Linked DNA regions of Ovis aries. The protein of the gene in region 2 interacts with the protein of the main gene of each other region in a biochemical or structural test. Links are inferred from orthologs where the notes say so. Each region holds a gene or a part of one and is shown on either strand. Other genes may lie near its edges.

Evidence for each region. The genes of interacting proteins can lie anywhere in the genome.
Region 1: the proteins of SPTBN2 (region 2) and ACTR1A form a complex in vitro, tested with the Homo sapiens proteins (2 studies listed by BioGRID). The link is inferred for Ovis aries from reciprocal best matches to the Homo sapiens genes SPTBN2 and ACTR1A.

The regions. Positions count from the first base shown.
Region 1 is NC_056075.1:22,874,509-22,878,594, forward strand, and holds the start of ACTR1A (alpha-centractin), read right to left. Parts: upstream 2,810-4,086; 5' UTR 2,744-2,809; coding exon 2,696-2,743; intron 1-2,695. UniProt on the Homo sapiens protein: Part of the ACTR1A/ACTB filament around which the dynactin complex is built. The dynactin multiprotein complex activates the molecular motor dynein for ultra-processive transport along microtubules.
Region 2 is NC_056074.1:41,148,432-41,151,943, forward strand, and holds part of SPTBN2 (spectrin beta chain, non-erythrocytic 2), read right to left. Parts: intron 3,422-3,512; coding exon 3,263-3,421; intron 2,938-3,262; coding exon 2,635-2,937; intron 1,481-2,634; coding exon 1,327-1,480; intron 1,107-1,326; coding exon 236-1,106; intron 1-235. UniProt on the Homo sapiens protein: Probably plays an important role in neuronal membrane skeleton.

The DNA.
Region 1 (4,086 bases), on a different chromosome or scaffold from region 2:
CCAGAAAAGACAATTTTAAGATTGACCATAATGTTGATTCATTTTATGGAAGTATTTAACCTCCCAAAGATCTGAGTTCAGAATATAGTATTCCTATTAAAGTGTTGTAGTCCTGGGAGTGGCCCTTCTCATTCTTGTACTACTATCTGTGATATGACTTTGGGAAGAACAACATGTTTAGTTTTTTAAAATACTCATCACTTTTTTTTGTTGTTGTCATCATTAAATCACGTGTGCACATATGCATACACACACCCTTCCATCTTCATTAAATTCTGATGAATTGGTTTGGTCCCAGAATTCTATGAAAGGGGTGGTCAACAATTGCGTTAAGACTAGGAAAGGCTGTGAACCGATAATGGGGCTGTTCTCTCTTTTCCTTGCTTTCTCTGTTCTTCTGTCTTTTAATTACACTCTACTTAGCCCAGAAATAAAACTGTGGCAGCATGGTAAACTATGGAGCTGTTAAATCTGCTAGAGACACGTTATCCTCATAATATAAAGCTGGCTCAAATATTTTAAATGATCTAGTGGGAAAATTACTTAAGTTTCTCCTACTTCACCTTTTGGTGAGATTGCTGGCATAATAAAGGAAATGTTTTCCCAGAGAAAAACAAGTCTATTCCTTAAGTATTCAAACTGAAAAGGTACCGCTGCTTTGATGCATTTCAAATACACTCTCAAGAATGAGAAAGAAGGAACTAAGAAGCATTTGCTTAAGTGACATAAAGAAAATGGTTGGAGATAACACTGCAGCCCAACAATTCTAGAAGCAAAAGGTCTGGTGGGATGGACAGACTGCTCTTTTTGCACTGCTGATGAAAACAGGAAATTGTTAATTTCTATTTTTTCTTTCTTTTTAAAACCAAGAAAAAGGCACATGAAGCATACACAAACTGGCTGAAGATAGAAATAGTAGTGTTCTCTGAAAATTAACATCAAGAATAAAGAGTCCTGCTCAACCTTATGCAGTAACTAGTCCTTCCTCCCATCCTTTTATTTAGGGACATTTTTGTTACTGTGAGAGATTTTCAGCCATTAATCCCCCCTACCCATAAAAATTAAAAATCCAGTGTGCACCTAGTGGTGCCAGGCCCTAGATACTGTCTGTGTGGAGGAAACTGGGGAACGAGAGACTAAGGAAAAATGAAGGACTACCAAGCATCTTTTCCCACCCGGATTCAATAGCCCAAGGAAGGAGATCCGAGACCCTCCCTGTCCTGCCCGCCGATCAGATCCTCCCCAAAATGAGGTGTCTCACTGAGCTCAACCTTTTTCCAGGAGAGAAGGAAAGAAAGCTAGCTAAAGAAGCACCTTTCCTTGGAAGAAGTGAGGAATTAAGAATTCAATCTCAAATTGAATCTTGGCTCTTCAATTCATAAGCCAGGTGGTTTGAATACTGTTATTTAACCTTTCACGTTTCATTTTTCTGGATATTTAGAGTCCTATCTACCTATCAGTGTTGAAGCTTGAATAAGATGATGCAAACTAAAGGACCTTGCAAGTGCCAACGGTCCCAAGGACTGAATCAAGAAACCGAATCTGAGTCAGCTTAGAGCGAATTGGCAGTTCTGCCTTAGTAGAGGGACTCAGAGGGGACTAGAAAGGTAGCAACCAATCTCCATTGGACTAAACCTTTGAATGGAAGACAGTCACTTTTTAAATAACTGCCTCCTTCCGCCAGAAATAAGAGCTATATTTAGATTCTTTCGATTTGTGACTATTGATACATTTGCGTAGGTACTATCAGGATGAATAACGGATAAAGCACAGGATTAAAGTGCGACCTTGGGCTCACTTTACATTTTTGCGCTTCAGTTTTCTCATTTGTAAAACGAGGATCAAAATTCCTGCCTTAACTATTCACGTTGTGAAGATCCAACTGGAATGTATGCGAACCCCTCCGTTGTAAGCGCTGGAGCGCCTGGCAAGTATTATATTTAGTAATTTTTACCCTCAGCAACTAGGCGTTTCAAAGAGGAAGGTACCTCCCTGCTTGCTTTGTCATTCTCCTTTCTTCTCGACCTTTATTAACGGTATAATTTATAATCACAGAAGTAACTGAAATCCTCAGGCCATTTCTGGCATCACACTCTCAGACCCCACCCAGATACACCGCCAAGCCGCCCTACCGGCTGGGACCGAAGGAAACTTAGCCCTGCTCCACCCGCCGCCCTAGCCCGTCTGCCCCCTCCACTGGGAGTCCCCGAAACCAATCACAACAGCCCTCGTGCACCGCACCGCCCTTTGAAAGAGGAAACACTATGGCGGCCCGGAAGAACGGCAAGGGAACGAGCCAATCATTGCAGAAGGCTGCCCCCATCCGGCAAGGCCCAGAGGCGGGGTCAGCGGTCAAGATGGACAGCCAGAGCAGCCAATAGAGTTATCGAAAACTGGGGAGGGGCGGGTGCCGGGGGCTCACAGAGCGGTTAAGGACCCTTGAGTCAAGGGCCCAAGGACCCTGCTAGGACTATAACCCTTCCCTTTATCCATCCCAAGGTTCTCCTTCTCATGGCTGCTGGCCAGCTGGTCGCCCTATCTGCGGACTTCGGTTCGAGGGAGGAGAGAGGCGGCGGCGGCTGAACCCGCCTGACAGGCCGGGCCAGTGACAAAGAACCGGCAGCCCAGACTGAAACACGGGAAGCGATCCCTTCGGGGAGGAGAGCATAAGCCCTGCTAGGGGGATGCAACTCACGTTGTCGATCACGACAGGCTGGTTGGCGATTACATCGTAGGACTCCATGGCAGAAGAACCTCTCCTTCCGAGGAAGGAACTGCCAGCCCGGTCCGCCGCTAACGCCACTGACACGCATGCGCAGTCTAGCCGCCGGCACTGGGCAGCCGGGGAGCGGCCCGACCTCACTTTCGAAGAACTACAATACCCAACATGCCTTGCACCTGAATTAGCGAGCCAGGCTGCTTTGGAACCCCGCCTAGTTTAAGGAACGGAGCGTCGCGTTTCGACGCACAGTACGCTGGGCTTTGTAGTTTCTGTAGGTAAATGGAAGGGTACGCCTATTGATGGTTGCAATCTCGCGTCTGGATCTGTAGACCCTTTGAAGGGATTCTCAGTCCAAGCTGAAGTATGTAGTCTTCAATATTGTCTGTAGTTCGGTTTGGATTGATTAGTAACTCGTGAATGTTTGGATTTTACAGGCTAGTCCTTCCACTTGCCACTACTTCCCCTGGACAATATGAGGTTGCAATGTTTTTATATGGGTCTATAAGGCATTAATAAACATCTACCACCTGTATGCAGGTCAGAAAGCAACTGTTAGAACTGGGCATGGAACAACAGACTGGTTCCAAATAGGAAAAGGAGTACGTCAAGGCTGTATATTGTCATGCTGCTTATTTAATTTATATGCTGAGTACATCATGAGAAACGCTGGGCTGGAAGAAACACAAGCTGGAATCAAGATTGCCGGGAGAAATATCAATAACCTCAGATATGCAGATGACACCACCCTTATTGCAGAAGGTGAAGAGGAACTAAAAGCCTCTTGATGAACGTAAAAGAGGAGAGTGAAAAAGTTGGCTTAAAGCTCAACATTCAGAAAACGAAGATCATGGCATCCAGTCCCATCACTTCATGGGAAATAGATGGGAAACAGTGGAAACAGTGTCAGACTTTATTTTGGGGGGCTCCCAAATCACTGCAGATGGTGATTGCAGCCATGAAATTAAAAGATGCTTCTTCCTTGGAAGGAAAGTTATGACCAACCTAGATAGTATATTCAAAAGCAGAGAGATTACTTTGCCAACAAAGGTCCATCTAGTCAAGGCTATGGTTTTTCCAGTGGTCATGTATGGATGTGAGAGTTGGACTGTGAAGAAAGCTGAGCGCCGAAGAATTGATGCTTTTGAACTGTGGTGTTGGAGAAGACTCTTGAGAGCCCCTTGGACTGCAAGGAGATCCAACCTGTCCATCCTAAAGGAGATCAGTCCTGGGTGTTCATTGTAGGACTGATTTTGAAGCTGAAGCTCCAATAATATTTTGGCCACCTGATGCTAAGGGCTGACTCATTTGAAAAGACCCTGATGCTGGGAGGGATTGAGGGCAGGAGACGGGGACAACAGAGGATG
Region 2 (3,512 bases):
GAGCATGATGCTGATGATTATTGAATCTGGCTGAGTCTGTTGAATAAGGTTTCTATTTCTGAGTATGTTTAACATTTTTCATTAAAACCAAAAACGGACGCCTGCTAAGACTCAGAGTGGGGTACCAGAAGCAGGCAGGTTATGGCTGGACGTCACCCCACACGCTGGCCCCCAGCTCACAATGCCAGTCTGGAAGCGGGGTGGAGGGGCAGGGGGCAGGGGGCAGGGCACCTACCTCTGCTGCACGACCTCCAGGTCCTCTAGGCGCTCAGGCAGGGCGAGCCCATTGAGCCACTGCTCCTTCTCCTCCACCCAGAGCCCGCAGGCCCCGGCCTCGCTGAGCATGGTGTAGAGAGCCAGGGCGGCCTCCAGGGCGTGGGCACGCTCGCCCGCCCGGGCCCGCAGCTCCTCATAGTGCCGCTGCAGGGTGGGCACGCGGCCCTGCACCTCAGGCGCGCGGCTCAGCGCGGGCGGCAGGGCCGCCGCCTGTTCCCTCAGCGCGTCCAGCGTGGGCCGGTGGCCCCGGATCTCTTCCTCCAGGGCCCGGTGCTGCCGGGCCAGGGCCTGTGTGGAGAACTCGTCGTGCCCCAGCTCAGGGCTGGACACCAGGCGCAGCGCGTCCACCAGCCAGGCCTCCATGTCGTTGGCGTCCGCCTGAAACTGGTAGAGGCTGGCGGCCTGGGCGAGCCGCTGGGCCCGCTCCTCCGCCAGGGCTTCCAGCCGCTCCCACTGGGCTTGGAGCTCGGCGGTGCGGGCGGCCGCTTGGCCGGCCCCAGGGTGGCCCTCGGCCACTAACTGCTGGCCCTGCTCCAGGGTGAGCTTCAGGGGCCCCAGGCGGCCGCTCATCTCGCCCCGCAGGGCGGTGTGCTTGTTGAGCAGGCGGAGGACGCCGGTCAGGTCCCGGCCGGTTTCTGCCGAGGCCAGGAGGTGCTGCTGTTCCCGCACCCAGGCCTCGGCCTCGCCCACCTCCCAGAGGAAGCGCCAGAGCCGCCGGGACTCCTCCAGCCGGGCCCTGCGAGCCGCTGCCAGTTCGCACAGCGACTCATAGCTCTTCTCCAGGGTGGCCACCCGCTCCGACACCAGCTGGGGGTCACAGGGTTTGTACTCTGCAAAGGTCACACCAGAGGGCCAAGAGCTGTGGCCCCGCCCTCTGCCTCCTGTGTGTACCCCCCAGTTCCAACCCCCACCACCCCACACTTCTCACTCTGCCACCCACAAACCACCCATCACCTTTCCTGTCCCCAGGTTCTTCCCATCTTGCTGCCTCGGCTCTTACTGTCCTCCTTCTCAGCCCCTCTCTGTCCCAGTCCCTTCCCTCATTGTCACCTTTCCCAGGGTCGCAGAAGCGCAGTGCAGAGGCGCTGACCGCCCGCACCCTCTCGGCCTGCACGGCAATGTCAGCTTCCACCAGCTCGTGCAGCTGCAGCAGGTCCTCCACTCCCGTTAGGTGTTTGCCCAGGTCCTGGGACTGCAGCCGGCCCTGTGGGGCACGCCGGGCATGTTGATGCCCGTCTGAGAGCTGCACGGTTCCCTCTGAGCCGAGGCTCTTGCCCCGCCACACACGCGCGCGCGCACACACACACACACGTGCTCACCTCATCCTGTCTTCCAAGGATCAACCGCACAACCCGACTCTCTGGGCAGCTCCACTTGATCGCACCCACGTGAGCATGCCTGCTTCCGTCCGTCAGTCCTCACTCACACACATACGGACCCCCTGAGCTCTGTCCTGGCACTCTGGCCTCTGCACTCAACTCCCCTCCTGTGGAACGACTTTCTTACTAAATCCTGCTCCAGGAATCTCTGCGCTGACTCATTTTCTCGGCCCCAGAATTATCCCCGCCCTCCTACGGTCACGGCTCCATCCCCAGCCCCCCAGCGAGATCGTCATTGTCTCTCCAGGCCTATCCATGTCCCCATCTCTCGCCTGGATCACTGCAACAGCCTCAGACTGGTCTCTCAGCTCCCACTCTGGCTGCCCACAGCCCTTCTTCAAATAGCAGCCAAAGTGACATTTTAAAAAATGTGAAAATGCAGAATCACGTCTCTTCTTCTTTTCAAAACCTTCTAAGCACCTTCAGTGTTCCATGTTACTCTGAGTAACATCCAAACTCCTTGACCAGGCCTGTGAGCCTTAAGTGAGCTGGCTACTTCCTCTCTGACCTCATCCCCTGTACCCCCCGCCCCCGGCCCCTGTTCTTACAGTCCCTGAGGGCCTCCTTTCTCATTGGAACATGCCACACATGAGCAAGCCCAGGGCCTTTCTGTTCCTTTGGCCTGGAACATTCTTTCCTCAGAGCTCCTTGGGACACTCTGCTCTCAGCTTAAAAGCCATTTTTCAGGGAGGCCCTCCTGGACCACTCCATCACATGGCCTGTTGCCGTTTCCTCATAGGTTTCACGCCCAGCTGCTATGTTGTTTACGGACCGGCCAAGGGTTTTATCATCAGTCTCCTCCCCCTCGAACGTGAGCCCCATGAGGACAGGGAGCAGTCTGCTTATCTAAACAAAGGACAGGGCCCCAAACTGGTGCACACTCTGCAAAGACCTGGCTGAGCAGCTGAGGGAACCTGCTCATCGCCACCCCCCAGCACGGTCCTGACCATCTCGGCCCGACTGCAGCATCCGCAGGTACCTTCATCTCTTCCATCCAGTCCATGAGGTAGAGCAGGTCCTGGAACACCTTCTGCAGCTCCAGGTTGAGGAGGAGCCTCTCCCGCCGGGCAGCCACCATCTGCCGCAGGAAGTCCCAGAGCCGCGCCACGTTGTGCTGGCGTGCGGCGATGCGCTTGATGTCATGGTAGTGCTCGGCGGCCAGCTCTGCGGCCACGGCGTCCACCGCCTGCACCCGGCCGCTGTAGGCCACGATGTCCGTCTCAATGGCTTCGTGCTTCCGCACTGCTGCCTCCACAGCGGCCAGCTCCAGGCCGAAGTTGTCCTGGGGAGGGGGCAGGGAGGGAGGTCTGAGGGCTGGGGGCCACTGCTCTGCTCACCCCCTGCCCCCCCCCCCCCGCCCCAGAGCAAACTGCAAGACGCCAGCTCCAGGGGGTGGTTCTAGACGTCCCGTCTGTTCTATCCCATCCTGGCTCATCAGCCCTATTCCCGTTCAAGCCTCCAGTTCCCGGGTTCTTGGTCTGCTCATCTGAGCCATGGAGTTCTTGTTTCATTAGCTCCCCACGTGGCAGGGCTATTTATCCACCTCTGTTTCTCACTCCCTATGTCTCCAGACCTGCCTGGGCGGGCCAGGAGCCCCTGCGTCCTACCTGAGACACCAGGCGCTGGTTCTCGCTGAGCCAGGTCTCCCGCATGGCGGCCTTGCGGTCGAAGCGGGCGGCCAGCTGCTCCAGCTTCTCCTGGCGGATGAGCTCTGTGCGCAGGGCCAGCTCACGCTCGTGCTCGGCTTTCTCGAGCCGCTCCCAGGCCTGTGAGGTGGAGACGGGGTTAGCACTGAGGGGCCAGGGCTCAGGAAGCGAGAGAGGGGAGGGCTCACGGGGCTGAGGGGGGTTGAGGGGG